7 linked regions of the Callithrix jacchus genome follow. The protein of the gene in region 2 interacts with the protein of the main gene of each other region in a pairwise test. Links are inferred from orthologs where the notes say so. Each region holds a gene or a part of one and is shown on either strand. Other genes may lie near its edges. The genes, in order: WT1, KRT40, MTA1, CCDC120, JOSD1, HDAC4 and DLGAP2.

Region 1 (3,500 bases), on a different chromosome or scaffold from region 2:
AAAGGCAACATCTCCTACTAGGACTGAGCAGATCTCAAAATGCCTAAGGCACTTTGCTGGAGTTTGTTAGGGTAGGATGATCCCAAACCTGCAAGTTAGAAATGATGGCAGCTCAGGGGCCAGAGGATTCTGCCCCAGGGCTCACAGCCAGATCTGCCATTAAAAAAAAAAATAGCTACGTTAGGTGTGGTTTCTTCATTGTAAAATGGGTCCAACAATCCAACAACTTCAAAAGATTTATGACCTTCTTGTAAAGGGCTCAGTCCAGGGCCTAGCACAGAAGGAGTGTTCAAAAAATATTAGCAGAGAATACACAGACAAACGAAAACCAAAATCTTTAACTCCCAGGCTGAATCTGAGGCAGAATTCTGGGATGCACGTGCCTTGAGGTCAGCCTCATGTTCTATGGCCCAAAGATCTGGTGTTCTCTGCTACTAACTCCCTGTTCCTGAGTCAAGCAAACATGACTCCATGGTTGTGAGACCCTTAAGTTACACCAAAAGCCAAAGCATTGAGAAAGTTTTTGGTGTCCCTTTTATCCAAGACAAGTCAGCAATGGGATTACCCAACCTCCTGTCTCAGAATGGAGAAGCCTCACACCTGTTCTCACTACAGAAAGTTCAGCCTGGAACCTGAGCCCCAAGAGAAGTGAGCAACCCTGGGCCTTCCCACCTTCCTAGGAGAATCTGAGTCACAGGCATCTGGGACAGAAACAAGCCATTCTAGAACCAGTCAGGCCTTTGTGTTGCAGGGCAGCCCCCAGTTATCTTTCCAACCTCAAAACCTCTGCTGTTTCCTTCATGAACCTCTATTCCCCGCTGTGCCAGAGCTCACATCTTGAAGTCCTCCTTGCATTCTGCTCACACTAAATGTCCTCCGCCCCTGTCTCCACATTGAAAAGGCTCCTGTATGTGCCTCACAAATGACACTTTGTCTGCAATGCCTGCTTGGAAATTGAACGGTCCAATTCTCCTTCCTTCCCTCATTACAACATTTCTTCCAGGGTGTCTAATGTGGTGAGCTGTATCTGGGTCTACAATCCTTCCATGGAAATCCTTCCATGGGCTGGAAAATCCTAAGCACTGGAACGTTTTTATTTTTTTTCTCAGAGACAAATTCTCTCTCTCTCTCTGCTGCCCTGACTGAAGTGCAGTCCTGCGAGCCTAGCTCACTGCAGCCTCCAAATCCTGGGCATAAGCGATCCTCCCACCTCAGCTTCCTGAGTAGCTGGGACTACAGGCATACACCAGCACAATTGGCTAAATTTTTTTAAATGTTTTTTGTAGAGACAGGGTCTCACTATATTGCCCAGGCTGGTCTTGAACCCCTTAAGCAATCCTCCTGCCTATGCCTCCCAATGTCCTGGGATTACAGGTGTGAACCACAACGCCTGGCCCCTTTCTTTATATTTCTATCCAGCCTGGTGCCCGATGCTTCACCTCTGTGAGCTGGAGAAGACAATGCCCCTATTGAGTCTGATCTCCTCCCTTGCCTTTGAGCTTCTGCTCATCTCTTTCTCTGTCCAGCCTATCAGCCTTCACTGGTTAACCCGAGCCCTTCCTCTTCTGATAAACTTCATCATATGACCCTAGTTCAAACTGGACACCCTCCAAACTCATCAGTACCTCCCATCTCTGATTTAGTACATGACCGTGTATTCTCTTAGTCCCATTTCATTTGTGTATATCCTAGCTCCGAAACAAACCACGAACTCCTTGAGAAGGGGGATTATAACCTGGAGTCAAAAGGCGGGAGTTTTAGTCCTCTTTTTGCTATATTCTACCCTCTTAATAAATGTTTTGTGAGTGAGGATTAAATGAAATATACCTGTAGAGAACCTGATACAAATATAACATGCCACTGATCCTCTCCTCTTTAGCCTCAAAGTCTGTGGCCCACTGAGTGCAAACTCGAGTTTATACCAGAATTGCATCCTCTGTACACTGTGAATTGGCAAAATCCAGTGGTCTGAGGAAATCTGAATGCAGCTCACTTTTTTCTCCAGCTTCCCAACAGCAAAATCACCAGTAATAACACAATTGTAACAGTGATCCTAACAGTAATGCTGTTTTTCGGTTGTGGAGAGGGCAGCACCAACACCTCGGTAGGAAAACCGGGGCTTCACCACACTCCCACACTCCCACCTAGTGCCCAGAAGGCCCAGAGCAAACGTTCTGTGACATGGCTGTCCACATTTAAGGTGGGCAACACCAGACAATGCCACTTTTCTATTTCCCAGAAGCAGGCCCGTTGACCTGGGGGAAAAGCCAGTTTCATTGGCATAGCCTCAAAAATCATCATCATCTCTCTCTCTCTTTTTTCTTCTTTTTTTTTTTTTGGCAGAGTCTCACTCTGTACCCAAGCTGGAGTACAGTGCTGCTATCTCAGCTCACTGCAACCTCCGTCTTCCGAGTTCCAGCGATTCTCCTGCCTCAGCCTCCCAAGTAGCTGGGATTACAGGTGTGGGCCACAACACCTGGCTTGTTTTGTATTAGGAAAAGCTTTAGTAGAGATGGGGTTTCACCACGTTGGCCTGGCTGGTCTTGAACTCCTGACCTCAGTGATCCACCCACCTCAGCCTCCCAAAGTGCTGGGATTACAGGTGTGAGACCCTGCGCCTGGACTTTTTTTTTTTTAAGCAATCACAAAAAAAATCAAACCAACAGTCAATTTTCCCCTTCCTGTCTGGTTGATTACTACCCAAGCAGGTAAGTTTTCCTTTGGACTATCTATCTCTTCCAAAATTTCAGAGTAGATCTCCCAAAACCATCTGATGCTATATTCCCAGGCTAGCTCCTCTCTCTTTAGAAACGCTAAAAGTATTCTAACACCAACACAATTCCCACACAGGTCTGTGTGGCACTTTCTCTCTACCACTCACTCTGCTCTGTCCTTCTGGAAGACAGTTTGCTGACATCTGTAACAAAGGATGGATAATCAGAATGTAAAATGGCCGCACAGCCACCATCCATCGCCTGGATCAGACCTTTCAAAGCAGTGCTTACTTTCCATCCTGGAAATCACCTGTGTCCTTAACAGTGTGAGAGCCTGGAAAAGGAGCTCTTGAACCATGTTTGCCCAAGGCTGGATAGTGGACACACTTACCAGTGTGCTTCCTGCTGTGCATCTGTAAGTGGGACAGCTTAAAATATCTCTTATTGCAGCCTGGGTAAGCACACATGAAGGGGCGTTTCTCACTGGTCTCAGATGCCGACCGCACAAGGGTCGGGGCTACTCCAGGCACGCGCCGCACATCCTGCAGGCAGAGAGCAAGAGGAAGGGAGGCTTTAAGCCACATGTGAACATTCACGTAGGTCCTGAGGGAGCGTGAGCACTGGAATATATCCAAAGAAGAGATGGCAGGTCCAGACCTAAAACCACTCCCATTTGCACTCCAGATCCCCATGGCAGACATCACTAATGGATGCTAGATCAGGACATTCTACAATGCAGTGCTCTAAGACCATCACTACTGAGCAACCAGAAGTGTCTCTCTTGAG
Region 2 (4,278 bases):
CATTAAGTTACTGCGAAAAGATCGTTTTCTTTCAGAGAGTTGTGATTTTTTTGAAAGTGTTTTTGAATCCTTGAACTTGTGTTTGTTGCAAAGCAGCATCAGCATACCATGAAGCACTCTAAAAACTTTTCTCATAAGTGTTGATGTGTAAAGAGAATCACTAAATTCAAACTCAACTCTGCCCAGGGAGTAAGAGACTATTTTAACTCACTTACATATGTTCTCTGGCTTGGTTTGGTTTGGTTTCTCTTCTCAGCTACCCAGGAAGCAGCACTCAAGATTAGGAGAAGAAATAAGTTTATTTTGGATCATAAATTTTTTAACTTTTTCAGATTAATGTGTTTTTTTCCTATAATGTTCTTAAAAATTCTAGAGGCAATTTTCTCTGTGCACCTTTGAAAATGAAATACATGTCATGACTAACGCTAAGCAAAGTGAAATAGATTGTACTTCATAACGGAGGTGAAATTCAAGAGAGAATCCAAAAAAGTCACACATCTCAAGCTCCTATCTGTCAGATTTGGCATCAGAGATTTCAACCAGTGGAATTAGTCATTTGGAACCTGAATAGAATTTTATTTCCCAAGTTCCAGTATGTTTATACATCTCAGAAGCAAAGACTCCTGTGGGTTCCTCCCTCTTTTCTGAAGTATAATCACTGAGGAATTCCCAAGGGACTAAAAGATTATAACTTAGAAAATTTATATTTCACTCTTATTAGGAATACAGGTAAAATTGTATGACTTATCTAAAAATAAGAAGTGTGGAGAAGGCAAGTTTCAGGAAGTCAAAGATCATAATTCCAGCTCTAACCAATATATATTTTAACTTACAGGAAACAAGTTATTCCTATCAGTTGTGTAAAGAGACTTTTCCATTTGTATGCAGGTAGACATGGTTTGTACACACACACACACACTCACACTCTTTAAACCCAGTATATACCTCACTTCTCCAGTCCTGTCAGCACATGCTCTAAGATCACAAAAAGCACTGGAAGATTGCTAACCACACTGACCATTTTTATAGTGGTGGACAAACAAATGAATGTCCTTTTATGAGCCGTAATACTAATTTTAAAGAAGACACAAGCAATCAATGCACAGAATCAAAATCTGTGGGAATATTAATTTCCTGATTTGTAATGAGTTGTATCTATAATTATTGATTGGCCAAATGTTCTCTTTCTTTTCTTATTCTGTCAAAAAGACAATGCTTCCTATGATGATTTTCTGAAATAAGTGTTTTGTCTTGCACATGGAAATGGTGTGGGCCCTGCTTTGGTAACCTAAAGTTATCCCCCTTTTATGAGGCATACAACTCTTCTTCAGTAAATAAACAACTCTAATGAGATGTTTGTATAAAAACCGGCACCATCAATGATGACGAAAACATCCGGTGCAGTCTGTAAACACCCATTTTGAGGGGGCGCTATATAAAACTCTCAGGAGGGAAGGAGTGTTTTGGAGTCAAGGCAACTGGTGTTTTGCAGCCAGTCTCTGTCTTTGCTTCTAGAAGGATGTCTTCTGACTGCTCCTCCACGCTCTGCTCTCCTGAGTCCTGTACCAGGGCTTCCTGTTGTGCACCTGCCTCAAGCTGTTCCATGGAGACAGCTTGTCTCCCCGGTTCCTGTGCTGCATCCCGATGTCAGACCCCTAGCTCCCTTTCCAGGTCTCTCGGGCTGACCGGTTGCCTCCTGCCATGCTACTTTACTGGGAGTTGTAGTAGTCCCTGCTTGGTGGGGAACTGTGCCTGGTGTGAGGATGGAGTGTTCACTAGCAATGAGAAGGAGACGATGCAGTTCCTGAATGACAGACTCGCCAACTATCTGGAGAAGGTGCGCAGCCTGGAGGAGACCAATGCAGAGCTGGAATCCAGGATCCAAGAGCAATGTGAACAGGATATCCCACTGGCATGTCCCGATTATCAGTGTTACTTCAACACCATTGAAGATCTCCAACAAAAGGTGCATGTCCTGTTGCCCTAGTGCTCCAGCTTCTCGATCTATGGTTTGCTTTATCTTTCTACTAGAAGGTGCTGTTTTACAGAAGGAAACCAAGAGAAAGGAGAGTTCTACAAGTTAATGGTACATAGGGAAGAGCACTGTGCTGGAAGTCGGGAAACCTCAGTCCCACCCCTAAAGCTACCCCTGATTACTGAGTAACTATAACAAAGTAACTTGTCTGTGGACTTTTCCTTCGTCATCTATAGAATGCAAAAAGACTGTGTTATATCCAAAATCGCTTTTGTATGTGACACTGAACATTTATATTATCTGAACACAGATCATGAAATGCCATCTTTTTAACCACCTAGTCATTTTCTTCTCTCCCTGATGAATTTCCATTATGGGAGAGGGTATAGTCATAATACAAACTACTGATGGAGAAAAACGTTAATGGCGTTCCACTGCCTAGGAATAGTGCAAAATGTCTTATGTTATGAGAAAAAGTGAACCTTTTTATGTCTCTATTTTGTTTCTGAATTGGCACTGCTTGTTTGCTTCATCAAGTGACACGGTGAATACGGAAAGCAGCTAACGGCCATTTTACACTTTCTTATAAAGACTTTCAAAGGATAACTAATGGCATAGCTGTTGGATAGTAGTTTATTTAGGTTTCTCTCAAAGAATACTTTATTAAATAAGGACTTTCTTCACAGATCTTATGCACGAAGGCAGAGAATTCTAGACTTGCTGTACAGCTTGACAACTGCAAACTGGCCACTGAGGATTTTAAGTCAAAGTGAGTTGAATTTTATTTAATTTATTTATTTTGAGGTGGAGTTTCCCTCGTTGCTCAGGCTGGAGTGCAGTGGCACTATCATGGTTCACTGCAACCTCCGCCTCCTGCGTTTGAGCGAGTCTCCTGCCTCAGTCTCCCAGGTAGCTGCGATTACAGACAGGCATGTGCTGCCATGCCCAGCTAATTTTTGTATTTTTAGTAGAGAAGAGGTTTCACCATGCTGGCCAGAATGGTCTCAAACTCCTGACCTTAGGTGATCTGCCTGCCTTGGCCTCCCAAAGTGCTGGGATTACAGGCATGAGCCACCACACCCAGGCTTAATTTTATTTTGAAAATAATTTATGGCGCTCTCTCTCTCTCTCTCTCTCTCTCTCTCTCACACACACACACACACACACACACACACAAACACACACACACTCTCTCTCTCTCTCACACACACACACAAATATTCTCTATATAATATCTTAAAGTTAAGAATGTCTTAAAAGCTTGAATTTATCATTACTCAGGAATTAAGAGAAATTCTGCATGTGGCTTCCTGAAATTCATATGTCGATCCTCCATGTATCCTCACACTTTGCACAGCATTCAACAGAATAAGTGTTGGATTTCTCTTTTGCTGTGAAAGGTACGACAGTGAACTGTCCCTTCGCCAGCTGTTACAGGCTGACATCAGCGGCCTGCATGGAATCCTGGATGAGCTGACCTTGTGCAAATCCGACCTGGAGGCCCATGTGGAGTCTCTGAAGGAAGATCTTCTTTGCCTTAAGAAAACCCATGAAGAGGTAAGGAAAGTGGCAACTCCGTTGAAGGACTCCAAGAGTGACATAGTTACACTGACAGATGATCTGTTGATGTTTGTGAATAGAACTAGGGCAGATGTTGCTTAAGCTAGACTAAAACTGCTCAAGGCATTATTACTGCTCAGCCTGATCATTCCAGTGTGTCTCTGAATTAAGATGTGAAATACCCCTGGCCAGTGCCAGACGAAGAAATCAAACTCTTCTCCTGCCCCTGCCTTTGTGGAGAAGGTGAATAACTCCACAAATGGCTTTCCTTGGAGGTTTTATGCCACTCCTAATTCCAATCCACCGGCTATAAAAATCAGGCTGAGAAACAGACTGTGAAGGCCATTTCAAAAAGAGAGAAAGACCCGTGCACTATCTGGACCAGTGTTTTTAAATATTCCACATTTATAAACTTTTAAAACTCATAAAATATAAAGCAATTGATATATTAATAAAGCTAGAAAATGAAAAGCTGAATGACGTAACAAATTACTTTGCTCTTTGAACATTTTTTGATGGCAATCATAGCTAACATTCATCGAGAACTTACTATGTGCCAGGACATTTATAAGTTAATTATATGTAGATTAATTCTTCTAGATCTCACAATAACCTTTGGGAGAAATGTCCAATTATTATGCCCATTTTACAGATGAAGCAACTGAGACCCTTGTAAGTGGTGAAAAGAGATTCAGCCTAGGCAATCTGAATAAAAATCTCACACTTTTACCCACTACTCCAAA
Region 3 (3,124 bases), on a different chromosome or scaffold from region 2:
GCTCTGCCTGGTAGGGGGCAGCCCCAGGCCCACCACTGCAGCCCTGCTCCACAGGGGAAGGGGGCCGGGCCCTGAGACCCCTTGCTGCCCCTTGTGGAGATAGAGGGGTCATGCTGGTCACTCCACCCCCACACCCCCACCCTGGCCTCCTCCCACCCAGGCCTGCCAGACCTCTCTCCTCGTGCTGCCTCTGCCCTGAAGCCCGGCAGAGCCTGGCCCCAGTCTGGAAAGCTCCGCACCCACAGGCTTCCTGGTGCTATGTCCTCGGAGCCCCTTCTCTGAGCCTCCTGGCCCCAGCTGAGCCCCGGACTTGGGAGACAGGGAGAGGGCACTGCGCCAGGCCTGACAGGGAGAGCAGCAGAGCCTGGAGGCCGGGTGGCTCTCCAGGGGCCTCCCGCTCCAGGGCAGGGGCACGGCCAGGGCTGCCCGAGGAGGGTGGGGGCCCCAGGGCCTAAGTCAGGGAGAGGGACTGGGAGCAAAAGACGGGGAAGAACCAGTTGTTTTTTTTCTTTTTATAAGATTTTTTACTTTGTTTCTGTTTAATATGAAAATTACTTGAAAAGACAAGGGGCCAACCCCGCCAGGCAGCTCGGCCGCGCGGTCCTAACATTCCAGGTGTAAGTTACAGAGCTCAAGTTCATCTACAAAAAAAGTAATAAAAATAAAATTTAAAATGGCACCTTCAACAGAACACAACAAAACCTTAGGGCCCGGCCTCCGGGCAGGAAGCCCCGCAGCACAGGGGCACGCGTGGGTGGCCCCGCATCTCCGCTCCAGCCGAAAAGTAAACACGAAGCTAAAAACACGGCTCCTCGGTTCGGGAATAAGTTGGCGGCGCTTCCTCCTCTCCTCCCCAGGGCCGAGGCGCGCGTTGCTCTGCAGGTGAGGGCGGGAGGTGGGGCACTACCAAACTGAGGGGGCGGGCGGCGGGCTGGCTGGGAAGGGCCGCGTGGGCGCTGGGGCGGGCGAGGGTGGGGCGGCCGCAGGCGGGGGCGGCCCCTAGTCCTCGATGACGATGGGCTCGTCGTTGACCGGCGCGGGCGGCGCTGGCCGCAGCGGCAGGGCCTGGCTCTGGCGCAGGGCGATGGGTCTGTAGGGCCGGCGGGCAGCCCGCTTGGTTTCCGAGGACGAGAGCAGTTTGCGGATTTTCCTGCGGGCAGAGGTGGCGGTGAGGGCCGGGACGCTGCTCGGAGCCCGCCCGCCTGCCCCGGGAAGGCCCCACCTGGTCTCCTCCGTGGCCATGTAGAACACGTCATCTGGGGCGTCGATCCAGTTCATCCGCCGCCGCTTGACCGGGGGCAGGGAGCCCCCCCGGATCAGGCGCACTTTGGTGGGGTAGGACTTCCCGTTAAGCAGGAGGTTCCGGCTTGGTCCCTGCAGAGGGGGTGCGCTTCCTGGGCAGCCGGCCGAGGGCCAGCTCCACCTCAACCTGCAGGCTCCTGCTGAGCGGGGCCCCAACCACGGCCGCCTGGAGACCCCCCACCCCACCCCATGAGCTACTCATACTCCCGCCCCAAGCCAGGGTGGCCCTGGACTGTGTGGCCCACACCGCTGGCCTGGCACAGAGGCCACGGTCCCCACATGCTGCAGCCCCTCTGGTCCTGCCAGGCCTCCTGGAGGCTTCCACGTGGCACTGGGCAGGGCCGGCTACCCCCCGAGAGCTTCCCAAGGGTGAGCACATGTGTGCCACATCATGGGCTGTCCCTCTTACCATGTGCCTGGACTGTCCGTGGTTTGCCAGACCTGACGAAAAATGTAGAAGAGAAATGAGGTTCAGAGAGCGCGTCCTGCACCCCCACCACCCACAGCTGCCTCAGCCACCCCGGGACAACGGGCTGGGGCCACCCGACAACCAAGCCACAGCCCACACCCGGGATGGGCCTGGGGGATGTGGGGCCTCGCCTCCCCAGGTCCTGGGCCGTCTGGTGGCCCCATTGCTCTCTGATCGGTGAGAGACACATTGGCTTGAACTCCAGGCAGGAGCCCAGGAGCCTTGGACGTCACAGCTGCACAGGGGCCGGGCCGCCCACCCACTCGCCTGCCTGTGCAGAGACAAGCAAAGCCTGGCATGGCCGTCAGTAGAGCAGTGGCATAAGCCCCTCTGCGGGCAGCCATGCTGTAGGCCTTGGTCCACCAGGAAGCCAGGCTTCTTCCCAAGGCTCCGAGCTGCCTTCACTGGCCAGGTCCAGGGCATCAAGAGCCACCAACCCCAGCTGGAAACTCAGGTCGCTGCCCACTGCCCCTGCTGGGCCCCAGCCACCCTGGTGGGGTGCCAAAGGCCTCTGAGTTCCCACAGTAAGGAGCCTAAGGGGCACTGCGGGAGCCGGGCCAAGAGGCAGGCCATGCTCCTGGTGACCCCCAGCCAGGCCCAGGACCTGAGCTGCTATCCCCCACTGCCCTGCCTGTGAGTGTGAGTGTGGGCACACAGAAGCTGGTCTCAGGGCGGTCTGGCTCCCAGCAGGACCAACCCGGAGAGGACAGGATGCCATACTCAGTCAGGTGCCAGGCTTGGGGGCAAACCTGCCAGCTCCAGAAACACTGCTCAGCTGAGGCTGAACAGAAGTGGCCTGTCCAGCCCTACCCACCTGCAGCCACCCCTAGCTTGGGGCACTCCCCTAGGGGCCAACTTGGGCCCTGGAGCCCTGGGTCAGCCTTTCCCTACCAGCTGGCTTAGCCCTGCCGGCAGGGTGGGGTGGGGGCCCAGGTGCCTGCTCCGTAGCGCCCCTGAGCAGCGGCAGCCACACCTCGGGGCACCTGCCGTGAGCCCAGGCCCAGCGCCCAGGGCTGGCCCCTAGCACAAAAGCTACTTACCCAGGTAAGTGCCTACCAGTGTGGTGGACGGCAGAGGGACGAAAACACATGCTTTAGGTTAGTGAGCCGCACGCGCCGTCTGCAGGCCCCGCAGGTGGGGACAGAGCAGGGGCAGCTGGCTGCGTTAGAACGCTAGGGCTCCATGCAGTGGGCAGGCAGGGCCTTGCCCGAGCTCGGCTCACACCTACCCAGGTTGGACAGAGACCCCACCCGCTTTGTGCCAACGCCCCCGGGAGCTGTCTCCACCCAGCCGGCCCCTCTCCAGCGCCGGGGTCCTGGCCCCACATGTCAGGACAGGCACTCCCTCTGTGGC
Region 4 (3,500 bases), on a different chromosome or scaffold from region 2:
CCCTCACCAGGGGATGCTCACCTTGGCTGAGCTGAGTGAGCCGCATGCCCAGGCAGACTCCCTGGGCGGTGATCACTGGCCCCGTAGACAGTGGCAGTGGCTGGGGTGGTGGGAGCACTGGGAGGCCAAGGCGGGCCCGGACGTCCCCGAGCTGCTCCTCCAGCTCGTGCAGCCTCCGCAGTGCGTCTGCCTGGACCTGGCGCCGGCGCCGGCGCTGCTCGGTGCTCAAATCAGGGGCCAGGGCCAGGCGGCGGGCAGCTGCTGCAATCTGCTGCTGCACCGACACCTCACGCTCCAGGGCCTCAAGAGCCAGCTCCTGTCGGGCCCATCCAAATGTTGGAAATGGCCAGGCACAGGGACCTGGTGGAGCCAAACCCACTAGAGGCTGTCCTGCACTTCCAGTGGCCTATTCAGGCCTATTCACCTGCAGGTGGAACTTATTTACCCCAGGGAGGGGAGGGGGCAGGGCAGGGCAGGGCAGGGCAGGGCCTCTCTTGGTGAAGGACTGGGACTGTTTATCTTCCTGAGCATGGGAGGCCTGTCCTGACAGTTAGGGACCAGCATCCTCCCTCATTGCAGGAACCTACCTCCAGAAGCCCTTTTCCTTCTCACCTTAGCCTCTCCCTCACCTGGCCACAAGCCCCCTCCCCATACCTTCCTCCTGGCTACTCCTCTGTACCTGTCCCCTCTCCCCACCCTCTTGCTCTCCACACCCATCTGCTCACCTCAGCAGGGCACAAGGAGTGGTGTGCTGGGTTGGGGTGTGGTGGAGGGTAGGCGCGGGCTGTGGGGGGCCGCCGGCGGACCAACTGGGGCCGTTCACCAGGCTCCAACGGGCACTCAGGGGGCAGCTGGCCAGTCAGCTCCTGGTGGAGGGCAGAAGTCAGAGACTACCAAGGGTTAGTTGGAAGGATGCGGTAACACATTAATGATCCCAGAAGCTACAGAAGTCCTACCAGGAGCCTGGCCCTGCTCAGCACCCACACACGATACTTCCCTTCCTCCTCCCATTATGTCCAACAGGCAGGCGTGCCCAAATCTCAATGGCCCAAACCCCTGTGGTGGTGGGCATGAGAGGCAGGGAGACCTGCTTTGGGATCCAAAATTGTTTCATTTTTATAAAAGCGATACCATCGAGATCCTAAGTATTATATAACTCCCTTCGGGGGCTGGGGCTGCGTGGTCTGAGCTATAGTATTATTTCTGGCACACTGTGGGCATTCACAGTAAGAGGGGGAAACTGAAACTACACATCACCCTGTGCCAGTTCAGGTCTGACTGTGCTGCCAAATTTTGAACAGAACCTGTTTTCTAAGGTTTGTTGGATTTGAAATTGTCGACAGGGGATTGTGTGCCTGTATTACCGTATTTCATTCATTCTAACACAGCTAAGCTGAGCTTTGAGAAAGTGGGTGACAGAGAAAAGTGGGTGACACAGACAGGACAAGTGGTTGAACAACTGCCACCCAAGTCTGTCTATCTAGGGGACCCAGCTCCTCACCTCCCCCACCACCTCCCCGCCTGACACCCCTAGGGCCAGGCCCTTACCGCCTCCTGGAGACACACTTTGCGGAGCTCCTGAAGTTTCAGGCTCAGGGCCTCCTGTAGGGTCCGCTGCCGGTCAAGCAACCCCCGCAGACGCTCTGACTTCACCTGGGGGGCAGCCTCTCCGAACAGGGCAGCTGGACACAGAGGGAGCAAAGATCAGTGGGACAGCCAGGGCATCCTGGAGCAGCTGTGGGGCCAGGGACCAACTCTTCCCAAGCAAGCAGGTGGTGATTTAGAGCAGGGGAGGAGGCAACAGGAGGGGAAGCAGCCACCGACCTGGGGCATTGAAGGTAGGAGAGCTGATCAGCTGACCTTTGACTTCCATCTTGGTGCTGTTGAGAGGCCGTGGCTGATGGCTGGACAAAGTCTGGCAGTGACACACAGGAGCCGTTAAGGAAGCACGTCCCATGATACCCCAACCCCCAGCCCTTCCCAACTTCCCATGCCACAGCAGGGAATAAGGGGTAACCTGGGCCCCACGTGCCTGCTTGACCTGCCCTTTCAGAATCCGTGTGGATGTCTGGACCCACTTGGCCCTGGTACCTTGGTTCCCTTCGCATTGAGTGGGAGCACAGCAAGTGGGGAGCTGGGCGGACTTACAACGCCTCCTCAGAGGCCCATGGGTCACAGCCAGGAGTCTTGCCTGGGGAGGGAGAATTAATGGGACAGATTCAACCAACCATAAGAACAACAGCCACGCAGTCAGCACCTGGTTGCCTGCAACAGTTACCTACAATGCCACAGTGAATCTTCACAGCCACCTGGGAAGATTCATACTCCCATTTTACAGATGAGGAGAGGAAGGCACAGAGGTGAAATAACTGGCCCATAGCCACATACATAACCCAGGTCCACCCCCTGGACCTACACTCTTGCTCACGAGAACCGCTTCAACTCCACCAACTTCCTCATAAGTTCCCTGGTCCCTCAGGCCTCAGGGTCTTTGCCCAGGCTGTGGCTGCTGCCTGAAATGCTTTCTTCAATCTGTCACCACCCCAGCCCCTTCGTGTCACTTATCATTCTAAAGCTTAAATATCACTTCCACAGGGGGCCCCTGTGTTATATTCTCTCACAAATGGTTGTCCAACAAGAGATTATGCCTCCTGGAACATCCGCAATGATAGAAAACATTATCTGTCCCATTTTCATCAGCATTGCCAGCATCCTGAACACGGCTGTACACGCAAGTGCTCAATGAATGGGTGCCAGGTGAATGAATAAAAGACGGAGTAAATGAATGAGGAGGCAGTGGAGCCAGGGTTCAAGCCCAGATCTGTGGGTCTGTGCTTGTCCCAACTCCATTCTGTAGCTCTAGTGCAGCAAGGAGAGTGTTCACTAGGTTCACTTGACCCAGGGTCCCTCCAGCCCCTCTTCCCATGCCAGCCTGTCCTGAGCCTAGCTAGGGAAGTCCCCCTGCTGGAATTTGTAAGAAGTAAAGTCCACAGCTGAAAATAACAAACCACCTGCCTCCTGCCTCCTGCCTCCTTCTCTGCCCTCAATGCCTCTGCTGACCATGGAGCCTGACTTGGCTGGCCACCAGCCCTGCCCTTGTCCCCTCCTTTGGAGTTTGCTCCCTCCCTTCCACATCCTGCTCAGTCCCCAGCTGGGGAGCTGAGTGACATCACCTCCCACCACCTGGCCTAACCTCAATGGCAGGTGACTGGGAGGGTTTTATGGGGCCACAGAGTTCCCATCATCACCTACCTTGAACTTGGCAGCTTGTCATGACACTGTTAGCCTGGTGTGAGGAAGACCCAGCCAACCAAGGAGGCATGGGTTCAAGCCCCTTCCCCATCTGTATATCGTAGGGTGAGGCCAAGCTGTCTATAAGGTGTCAGTTTTCTCTGGAGTCCTCCTACCTGCCCCATAGGGCCTGTACCCCTCTCTTGAAGCAGTGGTGCCCTGCCTTCAATAGCAGGGGTGGGAATCAGTCCCTAAAGCCTTTTGACAAA
Region 5 (4,103 bases), on a different chromosome or scaffold from region 2:
AGAAGTAGGAGAAATACTAACGGCTGGTCAAAAGAAAGCAGTCCAACGTACTGGATCCTCCTTTCAGTGACATGATCTGATGATCTGAGACAAACGATCTTATCTCCCACACCCCAGGTCCTGCAGAGTCAACTCTACTTGCTGCCAGATTATGGCCGTGATGCAAACAACGCATTTGCTCAATGCTAAGGCATTACTCTGGTTACTACTGGCATTGGAAAATAATTACTCTCATTATAGTTTTGTCTGCATATGGGGATTAACATTCTTTTAAGAGTAGGCCTCTGGCTCTTTCAGGGCAAATGATCCGTACCTGTGTTTTTACAAATCACCCCAAATAGATTGCTTCCAGCTGTAATTCTGGTCCCTATGTGGCAATAACTTCATTTACAAGCTAAGAGAGTAAGAAAAACGTCTTCTGGAAATGCCAATAAGCACTGCTCAAAGAATGCTTGAGCTTTTCTGCAATGAGGACTGAGTGGGCCTAACCCTTTCTAGTTGGGGTCATCAGGCAACATCACCACCAGAGTTGCTACGGACCGCAGACATGCTGTTGTGTTCATCAAGACACGACATAAGTGATTCTCAAAACCTTTAACAAAGCAATTCTAGAAAATGAGAGCAGGCTATAATCCCAGCACTTTGGGAGGCCGAGGAGGGTGGATCACGAGATCAAGAGATCGAGACCATCCTGGTCAATATGGTGAAACCTCGTCTCTACTAAAAACACAAAAATTAGCTGGGCATGGTGGCACGTGCCTGTAGTCCCAGCTATTCGGGAGGCTGAGGCAGGAGAATTGCTTGAACCCAGGAGGTGGAGGTTGCGGTAAGCCAAGATCGTGCCATTGCACTCCAGCCTGGGTAACGAGCGAAACTCCGTCTCAAAAAAGAAGAAAAGAAAATGAGAGCAAAGAGAATAAAGCTGAACTCTTTTTTTTTTTCCCCAAGACCTGTCACCCAGGCTGGAGTACAGTGGTGGGATATTGGTTCACTGCAACCTCCACCTCCTGGTGCAAGTGATTCTCCTGCCTCAGCCTCCCGAGTAGCTAGGGCTACAGGCATGCACTACCACACCCAACTAATTTTTGTATTTTTAGTAGAGACAGGGTTTCACCATGTTGGCCAGACTGGTCTCAAACTCCAGGACTTAGGTGATTCCACCCGCCTTGGCCTTCCAAAGTGCTGGGATTACAGGCATGAGCCATGGTGCTTGGCCAAAAGCTGAACTATCAACCTGTGGAGTGCCATTTGTTCTAAGTGGGTAAGGAAGACCATCTAGAATAAAGGAAAAAGAGGAGGGGATCCAGAGTCAGCTTCAAATTATAGCTTTGCTATCTATTTAGAAGCTATTTGAACATATTACCTCACCTTTCTGGCTATTTATCAGTAAAATACAGGCAGTGAGATGAATGCTAGGAGGGCTACACAAAGCAATGTACGAAAAGCCCCACTGCCAGCACCTGGCCTCACAGAAATGCTGAGCACTGTGTACACATCTTGCTTGTGGTATCCCCCAAATTCAACCTTTGATGACAGGTGACTGAATGGATCTTGTCCCACTTCTAGATCGTAAACTCCCCGGCAGGAGAACTTTAGAGGCATTAAACCTAGTGGTCAACAGCGTACTTAAAAGAATTCAACCCAGCTCCAAGTCTTGTTACCTTGGGCAAAGTACTGAACTAAATGCTGTCTTCATCATTAAAATGGAAATAACTCCAGGTATTAACATGTCTTCCATGGGACTGCTGAGCAGATCACTCAAGAAAACAGCAGAGGCTATGAGCATTGTGCTTAGCCCACAGTACGTGCCAGATAAATGGTAGTGATTATCTTTTCCTGTCGCGTGTCCCTTACACCTGCTAATGGCATCTAGCTAATACGTACAGACTTGAAGGCCGATGAAGCTGAGATATTGCCCCACCCACAGAAATCCAGAAATATCAGTAAGTATCAAGATGCCAAGGAGAAGGGTCCCTACCTCTGGAAAATCTCTTGCAGCGTATCCCGGGTGAAGGCATTGCTGTCCTGGAAGACGTTATTGAGGGCGTGGAGGGCACAAAGCTCCCTGCGCTGTTTCTCATGGTAGATTTGTGGGGGTGCTGCCTGGGGCAGCTCCAATGATTCAGATTTGGCCTTGTCTCCTTTCCATGGCACACAACTCATGTTTTTTCTTTTAGGTTCCAGAGATGGCTAAAAACACCCCACTCTTCCCTCCAGTGGAAGAATGTAAGCTTCTCAGTCTTTTCAGGATTCCTGAGGTCCACCTTATTCTCTGGTGTCCATGATTTATGCTTTGTCACTGGGAGAAAAGATTGGAATGAAAAGAAAAAAAAAAAAACCCACCTCTTCTCTCTTCTCAATAGAAAAATAACTTTTGGATTAGTTTTATTTTGCTACCACTGTCAAAGTGCAGAATTTAGAAAATTAAAAAACACATAAAATCTAAGACCTTTTTTCCCTTTCCCCACCCTTCCCTCCCACCCCTCTCCAAAAACCCCACGATTTTCTTGCTGTTTCCCTCTGCAAATGCCAGGCCTCAAAGCAGGAGGACCGAACACAATCGGTCACATCGCTCCTTTTCTTCCATTTCTTTCGAACCACGACGCCACTGATTCGGGAGACAAGGCCTGGGTGGCTGATAAAGCGCACGAATCGAGCAGCTAGCGCGGGCCCGCGGGCGTGGGATCGCGGGCCGCGCGGGGGCCTCGGGGGCAGCCCTCCATCCCCTCGGGTGCGCTGGGGCCCGCAGGACGCGACTCCCTCGGAAGGCGCGGACTCTCGCCCTCTGGCCGCGGCCCTGCGAAGGAGACAACTCAGGTCAGCGGCGAGCGGGCGCGGGAAGTGCGCGGCGGGGCCAGCCCCTGCCGGAGGGAAGGTTCCGCGCCGCAGCAGCCAGGCCCGCGAGGGGTGGGGCCGCAGAGTCCGCCTAGCGCTCCAGGGCTCCGGCCCGCCCGGCTCGCCGCCCCCACCCCAACCTCCCGGCCCGTCACGTGAGCGCAGGCCCGGACGCCCTCCCGCCGCGCCCCCGGCTGCAGCCCCCAGCGCCCCGGGGATTGCTCGCCGCCGACCGCCCCTCACCGCCGCCGGCCTCCACCTGGAGTGCGGGCCGCCAACTGGGCCGCGCGGGCGGGCGGGCGGGCGCGCGCACCTGAGCCCGACGTCAGCGGCCCCCTCCCGGCGCGTGCCCCGGAAACGCCCTCCCGCTCCTCCCCGCCGTGGCGTCACGGATGACGTCATCGAAGCCTGCCTGCGAGCAACGGATGCCTGGCGAGTCCCGGCGCCGATGAGGGTTTGGGCTGTTGCAGGGGCCTCCGGTGTTGGGCTGCGGAGCTCGGCGGCGGCCGGCCGGGCCGGGGTCTGGCGGCTCGGCTCGGCGCCGTCCCAGGAGGGGCGGGGCGGCCTGAGGGAGTCCTGCCAGAACGCCCGCCTGCCCTTCTCCCGGGTGTGGGCGTTGTTCCGGGGCGGCCGTCAGACCAGCAGCTACTGTCCGCGGCTCTGCGCACCCCTCCCCTCTCTGGGCCGGGCTTCTCGGCCGAGCGGTCCTGCCCTCCTGCGTTGACCATTTTATGTGTGGCTAACGCGCTGCTCACCAGGGGGGGATTGCGAAGCACCTGATTCGGTCGAGCGCAAATTGACTTGTTTAGTGCGCCCGACCGCGCCGCGCTGTTCAGGGAGCGCCAAGGGTAGGTGCCTCGCTGGAGTCACATTTCAAGTGCGAAGGAGAATCCTGTTGCAGTTCCTTAGTGTCGCATTTGGGTTCAGTACACACAAGCCACTGTCCTCTTGCCTTGGGGCTCCCCGCTCTTCTCACTGTGGCTTTCCTCTCTGCATAGACCTAAGCGCATTGTGTGCGTTGTCGGGAAAACGCTCAGTCGCACCTGGATTTCATTATTTTTTCTCTTTACCTACTCTTAGGGTAGTTTCCCTCCTTTTGGGTTTTTAATAAAACTGGAAAAACAGGAAGAAGTCGCACTTCAAATTTAGTCTTTATTTTTTGGAGGCGGGATTTCACTCTTGTCGCCCAGGCTGGATTGCAATGGTTGGATCTCGGCTTACTGCAGCCTCCACCTCCCGGTTCAAGCAATTCTGTCTCAGCCTCTGCG
Region 6 (3,500 bases), on a different chromosome or scaffold from region 2:
ACCTCACTCGCCTCCTGACTTCTGGTGAGGTACCGTGCAGGGAAAACCAGAGACCCTGGCTGGCAGATGGCCTCTCCAGGGAGAAGATGGCATGAAGGTGGCACAGACACAGAGGGCACGTGGCTCCCACAGTGTGTCCCAGGGCTCCTGGCTCTGCTCTTGAATAATCATGGCCGCCCACCAGCCACTCATAGCCCTAAGTCACTGGAGCCTCAGAGCCAACACTGTGGACGTGGCAAAGTGTGAGAGCGTAAGTGCAGAGGCGCAGGCTCCTGATTCCTATCACGCTGGACCAGAAGCTGCCTGCCCTCACAGCCCCATGGGCATGGGCTAGGGACTGTTCTTGGAGGAGACCACGGGTCTCTGGGACAGGGAAGGTGGGCAAGTGAGCTCGTGACAGGCCCCCAGAGTAACTGAACTGAGTGTGTGGTGGGGAGGGCGTCCGGGACTGGACTGCATGGTCCCCATCACCCAGTGTGGCCCTTGGGCCCCGCGGCAGTGCCCACCCAGCCCCTCAGTCTCTGCAGAGCTGGGCCTGGAGCAGCCCCCCAGGCTGTGCCCACGGTGGCCTGCGTCGTAGCCTCAGGCTGCGCGAAGGCCACATGTTACCTGTCGTGAACCTCGGTTTGGCAGGGGGCTCCTGGACAGACACGGGGAAGGTGGCGGATGCCGGTGAGGACTGTGCCCGGGACAGAGGCCGGTGGCTGCCGAAGGACACGGGGATGCCGGCAGCCTCCATGGACGCCTGGTAGTTCCTCAGCTGGTGGATCCGTTGCTGCTCCAGCAGGAGAGCTTGCTGTGGGGAGAAACGGCCATGATGGCGGCTGCAGGGCGAGGGCGCCCTTCTCTTGCATCTCCCATCCATGCACAGGACGTACACAGGCCACGAGGATGCCGCGAGGCCGGCTGCATGGAGAGGCCTTCCCTGTGAGTGCCCTGAAGCCCGAGTGGGCTCCGACCCAAGAACAATGCCAGCACGGGCTCTGCTGCCCAGCACATAGCTCCCTCTAGGGAAGGTGGGCCGTCCACGAGGGATGTGCCACAGGCTTCATTAACAGTGTAACACAGGCTGAGCCAGGGGGTTCCAGCGAGGCCTGGCTCAGTTTGGGGTATTAAGGAGGGCTTCTCTAAGGAGGTGCTGAGCCAGGAGCAACCTGGACCAGGTGCAGGGGAGCAGGCCCAGCAGCAAGGGCACGGCAGGCGTGGAGAGGCTCTTGCGGGGGTGGCAGCCTGGGGGATACGTGAAGGCCATGCAGATGTGGGGACCAGAGTGCCCACTCTGCTACACCACACACATACAGCGGGTGGGCACGAAGCCCCGCCCCCTTGTTGGGTTTGTGGGTCTTATTTTTGACCAAGGGCACTGAATCTGCATGCCAAACTCGGGCGAGAAAGCACACCACAGACTCAGACTTGGGAGAGCTAACTCGGCCTCATCCCCAGCCGCCCCCCTCCCTGGTCTCACATCCCACACACACGGCGTGCAGGCTAAAAGCAGAAACAGCCCATCAGCTTCCAGGCACCCAGGGCCTTTGGGGCCAGGAGCAGGCCTGCTGGTGGGGACGCGCCTCTCTGGAGAGGTGGAACGGGGCTGGGGCTCTGTGTGTGTGTGTGCAGGGGGGCTCTCAGCCAGAGGCATGGGACACCTCAAGGGATGCTGGGGACAGGCTGAGGTGCATATCCCCATATGAGGCAGAGTGGAGAGGAGGGAGCAAGGCAGAGATAAGGCCACAGCTGCCCAGCCTCTCCCCAGGCAGCAGCCGAGGGAGGGCACAGCCAGCCACCTGCCACCCAGGCCAAAGCACAAAGGAAGCCGGGAGCCTCCTTGCTGGGAGCTCTGCCCCAATCCTGTCTTAGTTTTGATGAACAAATCCTGTGAATGTGGAAAACCAAGTACCCACATGCCAGCTCCTGTGTGAGAGGCAGAGCCCAGCCCTGTGCCACCAGCACTGGGGGAAGCCAGAGCTGTCTGGCGAGGCTCCGATCTGTCCTGCCTTTAGGAATCAGAGCCAGGAGTAGAGCAAAGGGCAGCCCCGAAACAGCAGGAGGAGCTGGAGCCGGCACCCACAGGCCCCCAGGCTTCCGCTGACCGAGTTCAGCTGGGATTACTGCAGCTCCATGCAGCTGATAAACGATTCTCCTGGCACACTGACTGGAAGATGCCCCGTCTCCCTGAATGCGGAAAGTTGCTCCAAGTACTACCACATTTCCCTGATACGGAGGTCTGCCTATTACTCACTGGAGAACACAGAAAATAAGTGTTTCTAATAATCGTCTCATGCTTCGAATATAACAAACCTCTTTTTTCAAAGTAAATGCTGATCTATGAGAAGCGAGCCCTAAAAATTACTAATGTAAATAGTTCCAGTTTCTTCTCAGCATAACAACAACACACGGAATTTCAGTCCCAGTGAGAGACCCGCTTCCTTCACCGCGACCTGACCACAGGAAGAAGCCCCCATGCTGGGCCGTCAAACAGGACCTGTGGACAGGAGTCCACCGGGAAGCGCCATGTGTGCCAGGGAGGCCGGGCTGTCTGTCTGTCTTCACCAAGTGTTAGTTCTGCTGCGCTCTGTCGTGTTTAGTGCCTGGGGTGCTAATGAAGCAGCCCCAGAAATTAGAGAGCAGCCACCCCCTGAATGAGAAGGAGAGATAGCACCCAATGCCAGCCTCTGGGAAGCTGGGTAGAGACGGGCTTCTGACCCGGAAGCCTCCGGAGACCACTGTGGTGGACTCCGGTCCAGGTGCTGCAGATTTAAGTCCCCACACAGATTTCATTCAGTAGCAAGCATTTAAGAAGTGTAGCTGAGAATTCAAGGAAATGGTTTACTGCTGGGAGCCCTGTTCCTGGCTTCCAAGATGCCGCCGGGGGTGGAGGCAGCGTCAGGCCACACAGCTGGCAGGCAGGAAGCAGGGGAGGTGCCCAGTGCCATGGCCATCGTGGAGTCCAGCGAGAAGGGAAGGAAAAGCCAGTGGCTCCTGCAGCTGAAGCCACAGCTCTGCTGCTGGAGGACAGATCAAACCTACAGCTGTGGCTCCCCAGGCTCACTTCCCGCCTATAGGGGGAAGCCACCTTCCTGAGGACACTGTGGCTGCAGATACAGGGCTCTGGCTGGCTGCCCAAACGCCCTAGGTATTTCTGTTGACTTGGAAGTTTTATGTTTCCCTGGAAATTAACCAATCACTCACTGGCCTTCTTCATCGGTCTCCTGTGAGTTTGGTTCCTCCGTGTCAGTGCCCTGAAGCCTTACTGGCTCTGGGTACCACAACTGTACCCATCTGTCTGGATCTGTAGGGCTGCTCGTTAGCACTTCTGCACCACGAAATGTCTTGGCTTCTGATCAGACCCTGTCTGCCTTTCTGATCAATTAATACATCTATTTCCTTCACTTCCTCTATCTCTTAACACGTGGATTCTGTGTTCATTTACACCTACAGACAGGAAGGAAACCCATTCTCTGGGGCTGCATGGCTAGAAAGCAGTGATGTCACCTCCCTCA
Region 7 (3,500 bases), on a different chromosome or scaffold from region 2:
TTTTGTTAACAGCGCTATCGGCCGACAGAAGTCACTCAGCGGCATCCTCAGCAGCAGCGTGTGCCTCCCAGAGGGCTTCCCCAGTAAACTCGGGGATGGCTCCATTCAAAGGCAGAGGAAATCCACATGAAATAGAGAATTCTGCAATATGCTAGCTCTAGGAATCTACCTTCTTTAATTTGTTTTTGCCTTTGGTAAATTCACTAAATCCACACCCCAGAGACACAGAGGCCTTTTCCAGCTTATAGAGGCTGTGGTCAGGTGCAGGGCGTGAACTCCCGAATGTCACAGGCCCATTTCCATGACGCCTGACCGTTAGCTTTCACACGGAAAACGTGCACACCAGCTAGTTTATGTTTGTTGTGGCTGTTAAACTCTCCAGCCTTAGAGGCATTTAAAAAATGGTCCCCTGTGCTTACAGGGGTGGTTCCAAGGAGGAATTGGGATCTCCAGAGGCTCCCAGAGTGAGCCAGAGTCACGCATGACAGCTGCCATAGACATCTCACCATCCCTGCAGGCCATGGCGTGTGGTCAACCCTCAAGTCTACCGGCAAATGATGGATAGAGAAGATGCAGTACACACACATGGGACACTACTCAGCCTGTGAAAGAAGGAAACCTGCCATTCTCCACGACATGGATGAGCCGGGAGGCACTGTGGAAAGAAAGCCGGATGAGCCTGGTGCACACAGACAGAGGCCGCTTGGTCGCTCTCAAGGGTGGTATCTGAAACAGCTGAACTCACGGATGCAGAGAGTGGAACTGTGTTCACCGGCGGGACTAGGGATGGGGAGGAATTGGGAGATGTCGGTCTCATCCACCAACAAGCAAGGAGGGGCTCAAGAGACCGAGTGGCCAGCATGACAGCTACAGTTAACCCTGTACTGCACACTTGGAAATCACCCAGAGTGGGCTTCACATGTTCCCACCACAACAGACGGTGTACCAAAGGCAATGGGCGTGTGAGTAGCTCAGTGGAGCTGTCCCGGCGTGTGTTGTAGCTCAGAGCATCCCGTGGCACTCCCCACAGTTATGCGGTTGTCACCTGTCAATTAGAAATGGAATAATGACCACAGCACCTGCCGTTGCGGGAGTCTGCTTACCTGGAGGTAGTGGCACGGCCTCAGGGCGGGCTTGGTGTCCTGGTGCAGCAGCGGCTTGTCCAGGTTCAGCGAGCTCTTGCGGTAGGCCTCCTTGGCCTGGCTGACCGTCAGCGTGGACCAGGAGCTGCGCTTCAGGTACTTGGCGTCCGGCGTCAGCGCCAGCCCCTCGCAGGCCGAGCACTTGACGTCGTTGTTGCTCTTGGAGGTCTTGAGTGAGAGGTCCCCAAAGGGGCTCTGCAGGGCGTCGGGGTAGCCGTGGGCCGCGGGGCCCAGGTGGTGCCGGTTGAGCACGCTGGGCGGCCGGTAGGTGCTGTCGCTGTCCAGGTTGTCATCCGAGCTCCACCAGCTGCTCATGCCGGGCCGCGGCTTGCCCTCGGGCTTGCGCTCCTTGCTCTTGCTCCTCTTGCCATGCTTGGCGTGGTGGCCGTGGTGGGGGTCGTCGGCGCGGCCGTCCGCCTTGGCCCCGTTGGCGTTGCCCTTGGAGGAGCCCTCCAGCGAGTGGGACTTGGTGAAGAGCTTCTGCACCGAGTGCACCAGGTGGCGGATGCGCCCCGGGCTCTCGCTGCGCTGCTCGGCCGCCGCGGACGCGCGCTGGTACTGCAGCGTGTGGAAGCCGTCCCGGTGCAGCGGCAGCTGCTTCTCGAACTGGTCCAGCAGGTTGGCGGGGATGCGGTTGATCTTGGCGCCCACGTGCGGTGCGGCGCAGTCGTCGCGCGCGTCGTAGTGCGAGCTGTAGTGCATGCGCGGGAAGGTGCTGCTGGACACGTGGTCGCCCAGCGCCACCGGCATCAGGACGCACTCCGAGTGCACCGAGCTGCGCGGCGAGCAGCGGTGGCGCCCCCCGGGGCAGCTGTCCGCGGCGCTCAGCAGGTAGGGAGGCCGCTCGGGCGCGTGGTGCAGGTGCTCGCAGTCCTCGGGGGGCGCCAGGCCGCACGTGTGCCCGGAACACAGCGGCGGCTGCGTCCGGCTTCCGGAGAGGCCCTTCATGCTCCTGGGCGCCGGGGAGTAGCGCTCCTCATTGAAGTGCTGCGTGGGCGACCATGAGTACTGCGGGTCTGCGGGAAAACACAGAAACGTCACTCAGCACCCGGGAGCGGGAGCGTGGGCGGGGACCCCCGGGTGCGAGCAGGTGGAGTATGTGACCCCCCCACCGTGGACTGGGTTTTCAGGATGGTCAGTGTCTATTTCTGGCCTGGGCACGCGAGAGGACAGTTTTGCTTGTTTTTCTGAGACCCGGTCCCCGCTGTCGCCCAGGGTGGAGTGCAGTGGCAGGATCTCAGCTCACTGCAACAGCTGCCTTCCGGGTTCAAGCGATTCTCTTGCCTCAGCCTCCCGAGTAGCTGAGATTACAGGTATGTGCCACCACACCTGGCTAATTTTGTACTTTTAGTAGAGATGAGGTTTTGCCATGTTGGTCAGGTTGGATGGTTTCAAACTCCTGACCTCAGGTGATCCGCCCACCTCATCCTCCCAAACTGGGGGGATTACAGGCACCCGCCACCATGCCCGACTAATTTTTTTGTTTGTTTGTTTGTTTTTGTGAGACAGAGTCTCGCCTTGTCTCCCAGGCTGGAGTGCAGTGGCATAATCTTGGCTCACTGCAACCTCCATCTCCCGGGTTCAAGCAATTCTCCTGCCTCAGCCTCCCGAGTAGCTGGGATTATAGTGCACACCACCATGCCCAGCTAATTTTCTATTTTTAATAGAGATGAAGTTTTGCCATGTTGGTCAGTCTGGTTTTGAACTCCTCACCTCAGGTGATCCACCGCCTCAGCCTCCCAAATTGCTGGGATTACAGGTGTGAGCCATCGTGCCTGGCCGGGCAGTTGTTTTTATATGACAAAGTGAGAGGAGCAGAGAGGAAACTCTGACATTCCCTAACGGTTCATGACCAAGACCAGGTCTCTTCACAGCCGGATTTTGTGGTATTAAAGGAAACTGACAATTTGAGGGAAAGACATAGTTGTATTTCACTTAGATTTCCATTTTGTGGTACAGCTTAAGAAGTTTTAAAACAGCATCTGGTGCTTGATGGGTGATATTGTCTAGCAAGCTCATGTATCTCACACACACACACACAGACACACACACCACACACAGACACACACATACGTATTAATTGTGAAATTGCTTGTTCGATCCACATCCTCACAGGCTAGTGAGGATGGGAGGGGTTTCTCGAGGCCCCGTCTTCGTGGGGGCATCTGTGACTCCTTCCCCAGAGGCCAGGCTCTGTCCCTTCCCACCCGACTCCTCCCTGTGCCCCTCTGCAGCCTGCGATGAGCTTTCCCTGCAAGCCTGGAGGATGGAGGCTATGGCGACAGCACAGCATGGCCTGTCTTATGGCCACTGAGCCGCCAAGGGCAGGTACCTTGCTCTTTCCTGTCCCTGGGAAGA

Evidence for each region.
Region 1: the proteins of KRT40 (region 2) and WT1 interact in binary tests that used the Homo sapiens proteins (3 or more experiments, as listed by UniProt). The two-hybrid records come from large-scale screens. The link is inferred for Callithrix jacchus from reciprocal best matches to the Homo sapiens genes KRT40 and WT1.
Region 3: the proteins of KRT40 (region 2) and MTA1 interact in binary tests that used the Homo sapiens proteins (3 or more experiments, as listed by UniProt). The two-hybrid records come from large-scale screens. The link is inferred for Callithrix jacchus from reciprocal best matches to the Homo sapiens genes KRT40 and MTA1.
Region 4: the proteins of KRT40 (region 2) and CCDC120 interact in binary tests that used the Homo sapiens proteins (3 or more experiments, as listed by UniProt). The link is inferred for Callithrix jacchus from reciprocal best matches to the Homo sapiens genes KRT40 and CCDC120.
Region 5: the proteins of KRT40 (region 2) and JOSD1 interact in binary tests that used the Homo sapiens proteins (3 or more experiments, as listed by UniProt). The two-hybrid records come from large-scale screens. The link is inferred for Callithrix jacchus from reciprocal best matches to the Homo sapiens genes KRT40 and JOSD1.
Region 6: the proteins of KRT40 (region 2) and HDAC4 interact in binary tests that used the Homo sapiens proteins (3 or more experiments, as listed by UniProt). The two-hybrid records come from large-scale screens. The link is inferred for Callithrix jacchus from reciprocal best matches to the Homo sapiens genes KRT40 and HDAC4.
Region 7: the proteins of KRT40 (region 2) and DLGAP2 interact in a two-hybrid assay, tested with the Homo sapiens proteins (2 studies listed by BioGRID). The link is inferred for Callithrix jacchus from reciprocal best matches to the Homo sapiens genes KRT40 and DLGAP2.

What each region holds. Positions count from the first base shown.
Region 1 is NC_133511.1:97,761,733-97,765,232, forward strand, and holds part of WT1 (Wilms tumor protein), read right to left. Parts: intron 3,257-3,500; coding exon 3,106-3,256; intron 1-3,105. UniProt on the Homo sapiens protein: Transcription factor that plays an important role in cellular development and cell survival. Recognizes and binds to the DNA sequence 5'-GCG(T/G)GGGCG-3'. Regulates the expression of numerous target genes, including EPO.
Region 2 is NC_133506.1:92,275,898-92,280,175, forward strand, and holds the start of KRT40 (keratin, type I cytoskeletal 40), read left to right. Parts: upstream 1-1,478; 5' UTR 1,479-1,519; coding exon 1,520-1,966; exon of another isoform or gene 1,967-2,661; coding exon 2,662-2,744; exon of another isoform or gene 2,745-3,375; coding exon 3,376-3,532; intron 3,533-4,278. UniProt on the Homo sapiens protein: May play a role in late hair differentiation.
Region 3 is NC_133509.1:140,331,133-140,334,256, reverse strand, and holds the end of MTA1 (metastasis-associated protein MTA1), read right to left. Parts: intron 2,824-3,124; coding exon 2,812-2,823; intron 1,744-2,811; coding exon 1,712-1,743; intron 1,375-1,711; coding exon 1,223-1,374; intron 1,151-1,222; coding exon 1,000-1,150; 3' UTR 501-999; downstream 1-500. UniProt on the Homo sapiens protein: Transcriptional coregulator which can act as both a transcriptional corepressor and coactivator. Acts as a component of the histone deacetylase NuRD complex which participates in the remodeling of chromatin.
Region 4 is NC_133524.1:49,609,954-49,613,453, reverse strand, and holds part of CCDC120 (coiled-coil domain-containing protein 120), read right to left. Parts: intron 2,192-3,500; coding exon 2,033-2,191; intron 1,916-2,032; coding exon 1,825-1,915; intron 1,683-1,824; coding exon 1,549-1,682; intron 867-1,548; coding exon 726-866; intron 317-725; coding exon 22-316; intron 1-21. UniProt on the Homo sapiens protein: Centriolar protein required for centriole subdistal appendage assembly and microtubule anchoring in interphase cells. Together with CCDC68, cooperate with subdistal appendage components ODF2, NIN and CEP170 for hierarchical subdistal appendage assembly.
Region 5 is NC_133502.1:209,578,397-209,582,499, forward strand, and holds the start of JOSD1 (josephin-1), read right to left. Parts: upstream 2,801-4,103; 5' UTR 2,798-2,800; coding exon of another isoform or gene 2,661-2,797; 5' UTR 2,164-2,660; coding exon 1,979-2,163; intron 1-1,978. Other genes in the region: uncharacterized protein LOC144578143, read right to left, coding at 2,661-2,797, 3,248-3,563.
Region 6 is NC_133507.1:160,432,099-160,435,598, forward strand, and holds part of HDAC4 (histone deacetylase 4), read right to left. Parts: intron 797-3,500; coding exon 610-796; intron 1-609. UniProt on the Homo sapiens protein: Responsible for the deacetylation of lysine residues on the N-terminal part of the core histones (H2A, H2B, H3 and H4).
Region 7 is NC_133514.1:4,447,400-4,450,899, reverse strand, and holds part of DLGAP2 (disks large-associated protein 2), read right to left. Parts: intron 2,159-3,500; coding exon 1,104-2,158; intron 1-1,103.